2 linked regions of the Astyanax mexicanus genome follow. The protein of the gene in region 1 purifies or fractionates together with the protein of each later gene. This does not show direct contact. Links are inferred from orthologs where the notes say so. Each region holds a gene or a part of one and is shown in the gene's direction. Other genes may lie near its edges.

What was found. Proteins that work in one complex are often made in the same cells at the same time.
Region 2: the proteins of ttc4 (region 1) and edrf1 purify together in Homo sapiens (affinity purification with mass spectrometry; 3 studies listed by BioGRID and IntAct, counting the BioPlex papers as one, with this or other methods). This does not show direct contact. The link is inferred for Astyanax mexicanus from reciprocal best matches to the Homo sapiens genes TTC4 and EDRF1.

Annotation. Positions count from the first base shown.
Region 1 is NC_064412.1:25,878,792-25,886,827, reverse strand, and holds the start of ttc4 (tetratricopeptide repeat protein 4), read left to right. Parts: upstream 1-4,653; 5' UTR 4,654-4,901; coding exon 4,902-5,000; intron 5,001-5,110; coding exon 5,111-5,228; intron 5,229-5,332; coding exon 5,333-5,494; intron 5,495-7,959; coding exon 7,960-8,036. Other genes in the region: usp40 (ubiquitin carboxyl-terminal hydrolase 40), read left to right, coding at 324-432.
Region 2 is NC_064421.1:19,745,329-19,753,419, reverse strand, and holds the start of edrf1 (erythroid differentiation-related factor 1), read left to right. Parts: upstream 1-4,848; 5' UTR 4,849-4,880; coding exon 4,881-4,979; intron 4,980-6,610; coding exon 6,611-6,819; intron 6,820-7,050; coding exon 7,051-7,117; intron 7,118-7,220; coding exon 7,221-7,346; intron 7,347-7,538; coding exon 7,539-7,663; intron 7,664-7,777; coding exon 7,778-7,934; intron 7,935-8,015; coding exon 8,016-8,091. Other genes in the region: tex36 (testis-expressed protein 36), read right to left, coding at 1,464-1,778, 1,963-2,043, 2,264-2,383, 3,483-3,533. UniProt on the Homo sapiens protein: Transcription factor involved in erythroid differentiation. Involved in transcriptional activation of the globin gene.

The DNA of each region.
Region 1 (8,036 bases):
TGGTGGCAGTTTGAGAGAATTGTACCCAAAAAAAAATAATTTAACAGCTCTGCTCCACATTTATCCCTCGAGTTTGTCACGGCAACGAGACACACAACACCAGGAAGGGACAACGATACAAATTGGCACACTTTGGAGGTGTACTCCAACTATTTAGGCGTTAATGACTGTGTGTTGAGTTATTTTCAGAAGTTAATCTACACTGCTATACAAGCTATACATTGACTATTCTAAGTTATATCCAAGTTCAATTCCTATAATTTTGTCTCATGAAATAATACTTAAAAGAGAAAGATAAATTATTGTTTTTTTATGTCCACTAGAGGGCGTGGTGAGGTCAGCCAGGAGACGTGTACTGAGGGAAAGACCAGAGCAACTAAACGCAGGAAGCCTGAAGTGGCCTTGTCTATCAATGTGGGTGTGTTCAGATAGTACCGCCCCAGCTAGAAAGACACACCCACCACAAACAGACCACACCGGGTCAAGGGTCATGGCATGAAGAAAAGGAGTGGCTCATGGGAAATACTGTAAAGACTTGCTGCTAGAATATGTTGCGGAGTCTGAAATCAGAATTTGTAGATCCTCCCGCAGTGGATTGTGGGAAGGTCTCTTGCCAGCTTACAGGACTTAGTTCTGTTTTCTACTTCATTAGTTATCGGTTAAATTCTTTTTTTAATTTTGTTTTTCTGAGATTTTTGTATTTTTGCAGCTTCCCTTGCTGGGAATATTCTCATATTTTGTTCATGTGGCATGACAGGTGTGCAGGTGTATACAGGTGTGTGCAGGTTTGTACAGGTGTTTAGGGTTTTTTCTTAAGTTTGCTGAAGTTTCTTTAAGTTTCCTTTTGCCAGGGGAAGAAAATAATAAATACACACCTTTAAAATAATAAAGCCTTTGTCCTGCAGCACCAAAACACTGTTAAAATAATGTTAAATCTCTCCTCAATCTGATTGGGCAAATTGTAAGGTGTGTTTGGTGTCATTGAGACTGGTTTTCCACACTTCTGTCTGTGTGGATTTTAATAGTTAAGACGAGTTATGATGAACTTTGCTGTGCTGGTGAATATGTTGAACACAATTGGCGGAGCAAACAGATCAGAGTGAAATAAAATAATTTACTTTATTTTTTTTTCATGAAAAACTTTCAGGTATTTCATAACATTTTGGTTTGATTATCAATTTAATTTAAAAATCAAAATTAATCAAGAAATAAAATTCTCTCTGAAAACTGTCTACTGTGTAAGGTAATATATGTAAGTGTGAAGTTATTATTGTAAGTGTGAGGTTCTGATTTCATGCATGAGGTCATGATTCCATTAGAAGTATGAAAGTACTTTTAAGTGAATATTTAATCTTTACATTGTTTGCTGTGAGCGCTTTCAGTAAACACAGTGTAGCCTTTTAAAAATGTGACAACATGGCTTAAACAGAGTAAAAAATAAAGGAAAGAAAGTAAAAATGGAAAAAGCTTACAGCACCTGGTATTCCCAGGCGGTCTCCCATCCAAGTACTAACCAGGCCCGACCCTGCTTAGCTTCCGAGATCAGACGAGATCGGGCGTTCTCAGGGTGGTATGGCCGTAAGCGATGGCTGAGCTCCCAACAAGCCTATTTATACGAGTCTTTTCACTGTCATTTACTGCTTGTGACAAAAGTAAAACAGCTCTACGGACTAATACAAAGCCTCAAAATAAAAGCTCTTTTTAACTTTCCCTGGAAAAAGTAACCAAAGAACAAAATAATAATAAAAACACCCTGTCTTCACTTCAACTCTACATTTTTTATTCAATTTTGATGCTTTACTTTTGGAATGAAAGCTTCAGATTAGGTCAGGAAAAAGCCCAATACAAAAATAAACTAATACACAAAAGGATATCCTGAGAAATAAATAAATAAAATCATACACATACATTAAAGTACACTTAGCATGAATTTAAAGAAAAGTACCACGTCCTACAAAAGGTGCTCTTTTAAATTTCTATTCTCCGCTGCCCTCCAAACAGCCTGAGTCCGCCACACACCTTGATACTGCGGTCAAGCCAGCCCCCACTTCAAAACGCTTGGTCAAACTAGCCCCCACGCTGTTTCTCAGAGCGCGCATACACTGAACTGATCCAGGTAATTAAGACCTTCAGGATCACATGAACATTCTAGACTCGGGTGTGTTAAATCTGAAATTTTCAGCGTGGTAGAGCCCCACGAACAGGAGTGAGCCGCCCTGTACCTATACTGTGATGATAAGAAAAAAATAATTAATGTGGTTATTTTTTTATTTGCATGAAGAAGGAATATTCTTCATCAGAAGAAGGAAAGTACTTAAAAGTGAATACTTAATCTGTAAATTGTTTACTGCGAGGTGAGCGCTTTCAGTAAACACAGTGTAGCCTTTTAAAAATGTGACAACATGGCTTAAACAGAGTAAAAAATAAAGGAAAATAAGTAAAGATAGAAAAAGCTTACAGCACCTGGTATTCCCAGGCGGTCTCCCATCCAAGTACTAACCAGGCCCGACCCTGCTTAGCTTCCGAGATCAGACGAGATCGGGCGTTCTCAGGGTGGTATGGCCGTAAGCGATGGCTGAGCTCCCAACAAGCCTATTTATACGAGTCTTTTCACTGTCATTTACTGCTTGTGACAAAAGTAAAACAGCGGCTCCCAAAAAGCCTATTTATAAGACACTCACAGACCTGAGTCTTTTCACTGTCATTGAGATCTACCACTCTGCACAGCTATACTGGAGCCGGTTTATGGAGAGCCTCAACCCACTTCATATCTCCCCCGTTATAGCACAACATGAATGCAGACCGCTAGAGGGAGCCCGTGAGGGAGTACAAATTCAATACGGGTGAATGGAGCTAATTGGCTACAAACTCAAATTAAAATTTGGAACTAAGCACTTGACCAGGATATTCCTTTAATTTTGCAAAGCAGAATAACGGGTTTTGCTTAAAAAAATATCTGCATGTTTCCATTTTTCTACAGTAATCATACTGCTAACTGGTGAGCTGATGCTGGAGGTTGAGCCAGATCACGTTTAAAACACTAGTAACTGGTGTTAAGCTTTAAAAAAATATGTATTTGGTACAGAAGCATTTGATATTGTTCTGTTTGAGAAAACTAGTACATTATTTTGTAAAAAAAAAAAAGATCAAACATTAATTGTATTTATTTGCTCTATATTCCTAAGTGGGTATTCTCCTCTCTATACATTCTCTGGTCATACGAGCTGGTGGACTTAAGGGGTGGCCCCTTCTTGTGCCTCCATGGTTAAAAAAGTGTTGCTAAAGTGCCCTCTAGAGTGGTAAAAAGAGAGACAATATTAGTTATTTGATTAATTTCTTATGGGGAAAGTGATTGAGTTCCTGCTAGGGTGTCCCTTGTGACAAATTATGATGATGTTCCTTCTAGATCAAGACATTTTTACTAATGCGTCTTAATGAGTGCCAATCTATTTGTGCCCTTTTTCTTTCCAATAGGAAAGGCAGTCGCTATGATGTGCTGTCTTTGCCCCTCCCCCTAGACATTGTCCCAAAAGGGCCTTCCGTAGTTGAGGCAATATCATGCAGTAACCTATTAGTGCCCATCAATGAGAAAACTGGATTTGGCGGTACAAGCTAATTGTTGTAAGTGATGACATATAGTTTAAAAATCTTATTCCCATTCTTAAACTTGTATCTATTTATGTTTCCAGTTTTAGCAACACCCCCTCTAGAATGAACATGCCCTATGTACTAAGGCGCCCTTTATTTTTTTCTCCGCTGCCCTCCAAACAGCCAAAGTCCGCCACACCTGATTCAGGTAATTAGGTCTTCAGGGACACGTGATCATTCTAGACTCAGGTGTGTTAAATCTGAAATCTTCTGCATGATAGAACCCCAGGAAAAGTAGTGAGCTGCCCAATACCGGTACTTTGATAATAAGAAAATATGAATGAATGTTCTTTTTTTATTTGCATGAAGAAGAAATATTCTTCATCAGAAGTATGAAAGTACTTTTAAGTGAGTATTTTAACTGTACATTGTTTACTGTGAGCGCTTTATTTGAAGAGTAAACACGGTGTAGCATTTAAAAAAATGACAACATGGCTTGAACAGAGTAAAAAATAAAGGAAAGAAAGTAAAGATAGAAAAGCTTACAGCACCTGGTATTCCCAGGCGGTCTCCCATCCAAGTACTAACCAGGCCCGACCCTGCTTAGCTTCCGAGATCAGACGAGATCGGGCGTTCTCAGGGTGGTATGGCCGTAAGCGATGGTACGGCTCCCAACAAGCCTATTTATAAGTCACTCACAGACCTGAGTCTTCCTACGATATTTACTGTTTGTGACAAAAGTAAAGCTGTACTAATACAAAGAATACAAAGAAGCTCTCAAATACAAATACTAAAGTTGCTGTATTTATTTATTTATATACTGAATTTATTAATTTATTTATTAGTGATTTTATATATTTTTTTCTTTTTGATTTCTGAATTTTCTTTATTCATTTATATATTTTTAATTTTGGCAGTTTTGGTCCTCCATACTGTAACAGCAAGGCGTAAGCATTTGTCCTTAATGGCGTTTTTTCCCTCTTACATTACTTTTACTCATACTTTAAATAGTTTTAATCCGGGTTCTCGTCACTGAGCTCCCGACCTGAAGCGGCGCAGTGGAGCTGTAGTTAGAGGAGCGGCTGCAGTGCTGGGGTAGAGGAACTCAGCGCAGCGTGTACACGCGTTTACACTCTGCACTGTTTATAGTTTACCATATATACATATTTATTCATATCTCTACAGCGTTCTTATCTAGTCATATTAACCTGCGTTTGTTTCCTTCCCCAGCTTCAGTAACAGAGTAATAATAAGGGTTGTAGCTCAGTAAACACGTCTCTCACAGTCTCCAGTGTAGCTAATAGAGCGTTATAATGGCTCAGTCAGACAGCGACGATGGAATGGACGAATTTATGGAGAAATTTAAGACACAGAAATACAAAAATGCGTTCAATGAAAGCAACTGGGAGGAGGTAAGACTACACTTCCTTATCTGAACTTTGTTTCCCATTCTTTCTCTAGTAGACACTAAAATGACTGTGTGTCATCCTATTAAAATCCTCCTGTGTTTTATTAATTACAGGAGTTTGAGAAAGTACCCATGTTTATGAAAACAGCTCCAGAGGAGATAGACCCACTGAAGAACCCGGACCTCGCCTGCATTCAGTCCATTATTCACGATGATGACCGACCACCAGAAGGCAGGTTATCACCTGTATAAAACTTTACTTTCTATCTAGTTATTGTATTTGCTGTTGGACGGCTGTTTCATAATGATGTATTAATACTTATTTTGCTTCTTTAGAGCAAGCGAAGAGTCTGAAGGACGAAGGTAACGAGTATTTTAAGGAGAAGAACTATAAGAAGGCGATAGTGGCCTACACAGAGGGGCTGAAGAAGAACTGCTCAGACTCTGACCTCAATGCCATCCTGTACACGAATCGTGCTGCAGCCCATTTTTATCTAGGTATGTACTCAGTCTAACACTCATTATTCACATATGTTCATGCACTGTACAACTGGCTAATGATGGCAAAAGTGGGGTGTTAAACTTTCTTGATAAAATTGCTTTAACCTCAGGAGATCGCTGGTTCGAATCTTGCTCATGTAGCTTGCCATCGGCTACTGGAGCCCTGAGAGAGCACAATTGGCCTTGCTCTCTCTGGGTGGGTAGATGGTGCTCTCTATCTCCACATCACTCCAAAGGGTGATGTCCTCAGCACAAGGCATCTGTGAGCCGATGTATCAGAACCGATACATCTAAAATGTCTTTTACATAATCTGTTCTATGGTTTGTGTGTTTTTCTGCCAACAGAATTTTTAGGGTTCAAGCACCGAAGGTGCGTAGAACCCTATTGTTTTTGCTAAGATTTTTCTTCTTCTTATTAGGGTTCAAGCACCGAAGGTGCGTAGAACCCTATTGTTTTTGCTAAGATTTTTCTTCTTCTTATTATTATTATTATTATTATTATTCTTTTTCTCCTGTAAAAACAGTTGTGCAGCCTAAACCGTAAGTCATAGAGAAATGAAACTTGGTAGGTAGATGTAGGATCAGTGCATCTCGGTGGACAACAAAAATGGCACCGATTGGTCAAGTGGTGGCGCTATAAACAAGGAAATTCATTTTTCACAATTTTCTCAATAACTCAAAAACCATAAGACCTACATTCAAAATTCTTTTTTTGATGGATTCCTTGGGTCAATACCAACAACTTTCCAATTTGGACCATGCACTTCCGTCTATATAGATTTTGTGCTAATTTGCATAATATGCAAAACCTACTTTTGCAAACTAGTCCTAGGAATTTTGACCAATCCTGGCATGTTTGGTATCAAAACACTCGTGAGAGCATGCGCTTCAATATTCATTAAGAAAAAGTTGAAATATGTAAACAATATGGCCGCCATATGCAAATTAGTCCTTCCGGATATATGCCCCATTCACTTCAAGAGGTAAATTTGGAGCACTGTTTCTCAGCAACCGTGCAACCTAGCAAGTTGAAACTTTGCATGCAGAATCTATCATACAGCCTCTAAAGGATGTTCAAAGGGCAACTTAATCAATCAACATGGCTGAACACCATCAGCCAATCAGCATTCAGCAGACATTTTGGCAGGCTGAATGTTGCCCAATCTGGATGATATTTGGCAGTTATGTTCAGGTGGAGACACTGTAGTGACCTGCAAAGTGCTGAAACAATCCGCCCACTGGGGGGCGCTGTTCCAAAAAAACGAGTATATGTCAATCATGCTGTACTATTTTGACATCTAATTGTTTTTGCCATATTTAGTACAGTGGCTCTGACAAATTTCTCAATACAACTATGTTTAAAAAGTGCTTTGTTCATTCATAATTGCTAATTGTTTGAAAATAGCTATATTGAAACTACTCTCTGGATATTTGGCCTATCACCTCCATTTCAGTCTTGCTGCACACTGTAGAGTCTCTAGGTAAATGTTCATTAAAAACATTTGTGAAAATTTCACATACAATACTCTCCAGGCATCAAGCAATCTGTGCGTCCTTGGAATTTCTAACCTAAATTGCTGTAACTCTGCAGTATTTGCTGTAATCTCACAATGTTAAAGACCTCTGTACAATATCAGCCATTTAATACAGAACTAGATTAAGAATAACTTGACATTACATGTCATATCAGAACATTCACTCCTTTGTGCCTCTTCTCAACATTAATAACAGGTGAAAGACTTTTGATCATTTTAAATGTGACAGAATGTCTCCAATTGTGTTAGACCTTCTTACACATCACCATCCTATGCTCTAGTAGGCACCATTGTGCTAGTTGGTGCTTGATGAAGCGCCATTTAATTCAGAACTAGATTTATAATAACTTCGTAATTACATGTCATATCAGAACATTCACTCCTTTGTGTTAATTTAAACTTGTTTGGTCAAACATTTCAGCTTGTTCTGCAAAGGTTCAAAGGTCAATCTGAATACCACTTTGTGAACATTCTGGTTGAAGCCACCTGATCAATACCAATAACATGTAGACACCTTTTGACTAGTTCTAACTCACTTAATGAATATCCTACAAAGTTCACTAGATTTACATGTGAATTTAAGCACTGATCAGGTTGAAAGGCCTCTGCTCAACATTAATAACAGGTGAAAAACTTGATAATTTCTAAATGTGACAGGGCATCTCCAATCATATTAGACCTTCTTACACATCACCATTCAATGCTCCAGTAGGCACCATTGTGCAAGTTGGTGCTTGAACCCGATGATTGCCGCTTGCGGCTATATATATATTTTTTTTTTCGTGCATTGCTTTTTGCATTTTCAAAAATATGCAATGTGTATTTTTGATAATTATTTATATTTATTTTTTTGTTTCTTTTAAAACAGTTAAGAAATGTTGCTAAATTAAATATAACTAAGTTTAGTATTCCCTTAATGTTCTATAGGAAATATGCGATCAGCGTTAAATGATGCAACTGCTGCAAGAAGGCTGAAGTCAGACCATATTAAAGCCATCATCAGA
Region 2 (8,091 bases), on another chromosome or scaffold:
ACTATGTTTATTTTAAGTAATGATACATACCAGTCATGCTTACATTTTTATAAACATTTCCCTAAAAGATAACGCCTTAATTGTGGCCAATTCCACCTGTGCTATAGACTTGAATGATGATTCTGTAAGCGGATACTGACAATATGCAAGTAAATCAATAATACGGCCCCGCTGGTGATGTCCAACCATCTACGTCTCATTACTGTTGGAGGCACACTGCTGCAGCTCAGCCAATCATCTCTCCCTCCTGCCCTGTCTCTAAACCCACACATCACCCAGTGCCCCTCCCAAACTACCCCTCCCATTTCTTTTTAACCCTTTCCAAATTTAGGGTGGAGTCAGCAAACATCAAGTAGTTTAGTGATTCTCTAAGGCATGCTGAATTCATGTCTGAATCGAAATTTAGTAATCTAAGTTCAGAAATTCCTGTGTTTTATTGGGTAATATCACAGCTACCGTGCTCATATTTAGCAATGAGTGATAGATACCCCTTTCTTTTTGATTCAAATACAGATACCTTCTTAATATAACAGTGGGTAGCAAGGCATCAAGTCATTAAGTTTTGGACACAAACAGTAAAAAGGACATAAAGGCTCTTCAAAGCATTTACTGTAGCTCCAAAAGATGGTTTTGTTTGCAGTGAGCTAATTAATTAACTATTTTCTAATTTTACCACATTTTCTCCCCAGTTTGAAAGAACAATTATCCATTGCCCATTTGTATGAACTCCCAGTATCAATGGTGATGCCCCCAAACACTGGGAGTGAGAAGACTAGCACATATCTTGATGGTAGTGATGGGAATTACGGTCTATTTTTAATGAGCCAGTTGTTATGGCTCGGCTCACAAAAAAAGCTGACTCGTTCAACCTTTTCTAATTTTTTGTTGCTAAAATTTATTTATTAACAAATGATATTGAAAAGTAAAAACTGCAGACAACCATGCTGCAGTTAATTAAAATTCCTTCTTTTTGCATTATTATTAACAGAAATAATAAATGTAGTACATTATTGTCGTAACATATAAATGTCAAAAAGGGAGGAAAATAAAAAAACTAAACAAAAACAAAACAAAAATGTTGGAGAATACTTCATCACTTCCTGTTAATACAGGTTAAAATGGGTTAGTAGGTTCATATTTTTTGTACTAATCTACCAAACCCACACTGTTTTGATAATTTTATAGTATATACTTTATAGTATTAGTATTAGTGTAGAACACAATAGGGAAGCAGCATATGTTTTACCAGGCTATGCAATACCAGGCAGGGATGTGTGTAACACAGCATGGGTAAGTATTTAATTTAATAATTTTAAAATTAAAGAAAGCTCTTTGTGGACAATAAAAAAGTCATGGGCTTCTGTAAAACTGGTAGAAACTGGAAACACAAAAACTCACAAAGAACACTGCTGCTATTTCTTAAGACTGCTTTAATACTTTCTGCAGGAACTGCATCATGTCAGTTATAGTGGTGAGGAATGGTTTGAATCTGCTAATACATTAAGAGGTGTGTGGTGGTCGAGATCATGCCTTCCAAACCACATGTAATGTTCCCCAGCATTAACAGCCTGCTGAGACCGCTCCAGATGACTCCTGGGAAAGCGCCTTCTGTGTGTGCCCTCCTCACTCTCTGCTCCCTGCCTTGGAACAAAGTCAGACTGATAGGCAGAATGAGTTCTCGGCGTCAGTCCCACTGCACACACACTGCTATCATGACAAAGGCAAAAATGAGAGCTATGCTGCCTGTGGTCATCAAGACACTTCTTCCGACCCAAAACCTAAAGAAAATTACAGAAATACACAGCATAATAATCATGTCTTCTAAAGTTATTTAGTAATAAATAAATATATTTATTTTTCAAATGGCTTTGTTTTGTCACTTTTTGACATAACTGAGATTGGTTTTTATTTGGTAGTATTATTTACACTGTGTCAAAATTTCTTGAAACAATACAAACTTACATGATCATATGTTTCAATTTTATTCTGCAGTGTTGCCCGGTTATCATGCGCTGAAAAAGGGTAGTCTCTTCCCATTGTTTTCTGAATAAAAAGAATGAAAAAAAAACCAGAATGTTTTACATTTTTATTGATACAGAACAGAAAATCATCATAATAAAGGCAATATAATATAAAATGTGTATTATGTTGTATATCATATATGATTGCCACCTGTTAACTAACTAAATAAACATAATTTGCTGACAGTTGCACTGCATGTACATATCCTATAAACTATAGCTAGAAAAATAATATAACTAACCTTTTCAGGGTTTCGTTTTGGATATCTTTCTGCTGCATGTGGCACAGGCTGGAGCACTCCTTGAGCCATCATGGTTCCTGTGCTCGTAAACATTGTTGACTTTTCACCACCATGAGCAAACTAAAAACAGAGTTTATTTGATATAGAAATAGTGTGGATTAAACAGTTTTATTCTTTGAGGGAAGACATTTTTAGCTATATTTTCTATGACTCTTTCATGTCCATCATTTGCTGGTTTTACATTTTTGAGCTATACAGGAACATGCAGAATTATTTTGTAAAAAATGTGTAAACTTTTAGTAGCCACATTTAGCTTTGATCACAGATTTGCACACTCTTGGTATATTTTTTTTACAGTGGCTTCATGAGGTAGAGTCACCTGGAATAGTTTTAGGAATAGTAAATAAATTTATAAGATTTAATATTTGAAAATGTATGAAGTTGGTGAAAAAAGTTTTTTTCCTAAATCTACTGCAATAGTTTGAAAAATATTTTGAAATAAAATATAGATTATAATGGTATATTTGAAATGTATTTAAAATGCATTTTACATATACAGCTCTGGAAAAAAATAAGAGACCATTTAAAAAATAAGTTCCTTTAATTTTACCAAATTGAAAACCTGAAGATAGATGATCACAAGTCATCAAACCAAGCTTAACTGCTTGAATGTTTGCACTAGGGGTAGTATTAAGTTATCCAAAAGCAGTGTGTAAGACTGGTGGAGGAGAACGGAGAACATTCCAAGATGCATGAAAACTGTGATTAAAAACCAGGGTTATGCAACCAAATATTGATTTCTGAACTCTTAAAACTTTATGAATATGAACTTGTTTTCTTTGCATTATTTGAGGTTTGAAAGCTCCACATCTTTTTGACATTTCAGGCATTTCTCATTTTCTGCAAATAAATGCTCTAATGACTATGTTTTTATTTGAAATTTGAGAGAAATGTTGTCTGTAGTTTATAGAATAAAACAATAATGTTCAATTTACTCAAATATATGCCTATAATTACTTAAACAAGAGAAACTGATTCAGAAACTGAAGTGGTCTATAACTTCTAGATACATTTATTTGGGATGGATCAGTAAAAATGAAATTCTTTTACATTGACTGCCATTAAAATGTTACATTTTTATTTCTTTTTTGTAGTAATAGTATCTAGATTTTGTTGTTTTTGTTTGATGATTAGCAGCACAGAAAAAAAGATGTCTCACCCAGTTACCATCTTGCTCCATATTTGCGTATCTTTTGCCTCCTTTCATCATGTTAACTACCTGTTAAATATAAAATGGTTCTAGTTTAAAGTATATTTAAATCATAAACGTGTATTCAAAGTGAAAAGTGTAAAGTGAAAAATGTATTTAAAGTGAAAAGTGTATTTAAAGTGAGCTTCAATAGGAGAGCAGTGAGATGTGTCTGTAATGAAACGCGTGTCTGCTGAGGGACATTTTTTGTCCCCATGACAACAGAATGCAGGCAGGCCATGTGATTGGACATGAATGTAGCTAAAGGTGCAACAAGTAACTTTATTTTTGTTTTTGTATGGCAAAGCATTTTTAGTTATCGAGCTTGCTAAAATGCGAAAAAGGGAAGTTTAAAGAAATAAAAGTGAATAAATAAAAACTAATCAACAAAGTAAAGTGGTACTCTCAGGTATCGCCAAATTAGCCAGCTAACTAACAAGAGAAACATATATAAATATAGCTTAACTTGCCATAGTTAATTAATTAATTATTTTATTTATTTATTTATTACAATACAATAAAAATAAATAAATAAATAAATAACGGTGGGTCAAAAAAAAAAACAATACGTATACGTGCAAAAAAATCTTTCTTGTTGTAGACTTACTAAAACAGTGTTTTTTTTTTCATAAATTTGCCTTTGGTAAACTAAAGTTAGCTACTTTTGTTAGATTAATCATGATAAAGCGGTGGATCACATTTCCTCCCAAACAAATCAGGGCATAGAGAGCTATTTAGCTACGTACACTGAGAGAAAATGTGTAGCGTTACATAAGTATATGAAATAATTAAATATAAAGCTAAATACTTGAATATCGTGTCTGTCAGGAAATATCTTATAAAGATATTTTCTAGAACTTTTTGCCGACGTCACATGTGTTTCCGGGTAGTGCGAGTTCAGCGCTAGTGATGGTTAAATGTGAGTTAGCTGAGCTGAAGGATCGTATAGTAAGAGGGAGCACCTATCTGGGTTAGTTAACCTAACTAACGCTAACTAGTTAATACGTCGGGACGTTAGTTAACCCTGGTCGAAACCCATTCTATCAAGGTTTAGCATCCTAAAGTTATTACCTAAAGCTGACAGCTCTGAAAACAATACCACTTGTAGTGTAACGTAGCTAGCTTAGGTTAGCTCACAGGTATGAGTGACATTACGTTAGCCACCTAATGCTAACTACAAAACAATAACAGCAGCACCTACAGCTACACTCTTATAGCTAGTCAGCTAGGTTACCTAACTAACTAGTTAACATGTTTGACTGAGTCCCGTCTTATAAAGCCTTACACCGCAGGGAGACAGTCGGAGCTACTTCATCGAAGTTTCTGGATGGCTCAGAGAGGTGGCCAGAGGCTGCTGTCCGGCTGAAAATGAGTTCCCCACAACAAGAACAGGTGTCGTCTGTGTCTGCAGACCACAGGCATGAAGACCTGGAGCATGACAGCGCTGCCAGTGATGATACAAAACAGGTAAGCAGTGCTCTTGAAACTCAGTAACTTAATAAGTTGTAATTACCATCAGCAGTTGTAACTTTAGCTACCGTGGTGACCTGGACAGTAGCTGTCAGTCTATGTGTACAACTAAAGTGGGTATATAATCTTATGACTTCAGTATTCTGGCTATGTGTACCACTAAAGTGGGTATATAATCTTAGAACTTCAGTAATCTGTCTATGTGTACAACTAAAGTGGGTATATAATATTAGAACTTCAGTAATCTGTCTATGTGTACAACTAAAGTGGGTATATAATCTTAGAATTTCAGTAATCTGTCTATGTGTACCACTAAAGTGGGTATATAATCTTAGAACTTCAGTAATCTGTCTATGTGTACCACTAAAGTGGGTATATAATCTTATGACTTCAGTATTCTGGCTATGTGTACCACGAAATTGGGTATATAATCTTAGAACTTCAGTAATCTGTGTATGTGTACCACTAAAGTGGGTATATAATCTTAGGATTTAGGAAATTTAGTAGCTCTCAGGCCATTAAGATATACCACTAAAGTGGGTATATAATCTTAGAACTTCAGTAATCTGTCTATGTGTACCACTAAAGTGGGTATATAATCTTATGACTTCAGTATTCTGGCTATGTGTACCACGAAATTGGGTATATAATCTTAGAACTCCAGTAATCTGTCTATGTGTACCACTAAAGTGGGTATATAATCTTAGGATTTAGGAAATTTAGTAGCTCTCAGGCCATTAAGAAATACCACTAAAGTGGATATATATTCTTAGGAGTAGTCTGGTTATCTGTACCAAAAAGTGGATAGCTATGTAATCTGGGTAGCTGTCAGGTTATGTAGCTATAAAGTGGATGTGTAATCTTAGGATTTAAATAATTTAACTATGTGTACCACTAAAGTAGGTATATCATTTTAGTTTTAATTTTAGATTTCACTTATGTTTCACGCTATGTAGCCATACCACTAAAGTGGGTGTATAGTCTTAGGACTTTTTTTAGATCACAATCCAACTAATTCCATTAAGTGGTGCTTTATCAGGCTGCCTAATTTACTGTTTCAACATAGTAGTTGCAGTTTGTCCAATTGCAATATTTACATTGCAGTATGAGCAAAGTCACATAGAATAAATTAAACCATGCCCACGTTAACACTTGCTTGTTGCAAAAGCAAAAATCCCACTGTCATTATACACCAATGTTCAGTTCACAGAGAGTGTTGTTAATATTGTTAACAACATGTTGATCATTGGTTTCTGGAGAAATTCATGAATTCCTATTTAAAAAGGACACATTCTTTTTTATTATTTTTCATTTTGAGCTGTTTATTTGGTTCAGTGTTTGTGTTCTCCTCCTTTACACCAGTCTTGCATAATGGAGAGGAAGGAGCCATGTCACTAGACACATAGTAGGGGAAACTGTTAATAGAATAATCATAAATAATATAATACATGTAAGACGTTTATTTTGGTAGCAAACAGTCCGATTTTAAAAGATGCAGATGGCTTAAATCTTCCTTCTGTTCTTTGTTTATGTTTATGTAGTTGTGCTTGTGAAGTTTAATGTTTTAAGTTCTGATTAATATACTACATTGCATTGTCTGTAAGCACTGTTGTTTGTTTGTTGTTTAGGGGGTGGTTGAATGTCTTGGTAATAATGAAGTAAAGAGTCGTGCTGTGGTGAAATACTCTGCCGCACCACCTCCGGCCACCTATGCACTTCTTCAGGAGCAGACCGATCTCAAGTTGCCCCCTGCCAACTGGCTGCGAGAGAGTGCCCAGCTCGGCTCTGCTGGGACCACTGTACTTGGATCCAGCAGTAAAAGCAAGCCATTCTCTAGGTATAAACAATAAACACTCTCATTGAGATTTTCAGAAAATTACATTACATTACATTACATTACATTACATTAAATTACATTTGGCAGATGCTTTTGTCCAAAGCGACTTATAATAGTGAAGTACAAAAGTAATAGAAGTTAAAAGATGTATTCTTGAATAATAAATGCATTCTTGAATTTTTAAGTTGATCTTCTTATAATAATTAATTGCTTTTATTTGTGTTTTTTAAGCTTTGGTATGGCCTATGACTTCATTGACTCGATTGGGAATGATGTTGATGTGGTGTCTGATTCAGAGGTGAGTTGTTTTTTTTTGTTATAAAGTTATCTAAAATATCAGTTGCTGATCAGTCCTCTGAATTCTGGGCTCTATTATCACTGTCTCTTTCTGTCTTTGACAGAACATAAAAAAGTTGCTGAAGATCCCGTATAGTAAGTCTCATGTCAGCATGGCAGTTCATCGGGTGGGCAGGACTCTGCTGCTGGATGAGCTTGACATTCAAGAGCTCTTTATGCGGTCATCCCATGTGAGCACATTCCCTTCTACTGAGATAACATGCTTAATCTACTTTCATATTTGCTTCTTGTCTTGTGAGCTCTGAAGGCCTTACCAATGGTATATAGTGAATGGTGTAATTACACATTGTATTATGCCAAACCTAACCAACAACATAAGATTTTAGTTTATTGAGCTTATTTGAATTATTTCACATGTTTAGACGGGAGACTGGACGTGGTTAAAGGAGTTTTACCAGAGACTTATTGACCAGAAGTGGCAAAGGAAGAAGAAAAGTAAAGAGCATTGGTATGAAAAGGCCATCCTCTCCAAGTTTCTTTACTACAGGTGAGCTAGAAATATATATTAATAATGGCTTCTTAACTGAACATTAGTATTATAGTAATAGTTCTCGTCTAATGCCATCAGTAATCAAGTGCACTACTTTGTCTTGTCTTTCAGTATACATGGAAATGATGTTGCCGAACCTGTGCCCTCAGACTCGGACAACTGTGCTGAGGAAGAAGAGGCTTGTGGAAGTGCTGAATATGGTCCGTCCTGGCCTGCACCCTTCAGCAGCCCTGCCTCTGAATCAGAGCAGTCCACTATTCCCAAAGAGGTATAATTAGCTGCTTCGTTTGTTTATGTCTGAAATCGATTTTAGAGAGGTTTTATATTCTCTTTTTCTTTTTTTTTTCAGGAGCGAGTGGGGAACACGTATGCTCTTGGTCATGTGTCATCTGTTCCTAAAGAGCAGAACCTTCCCACACTTTTTA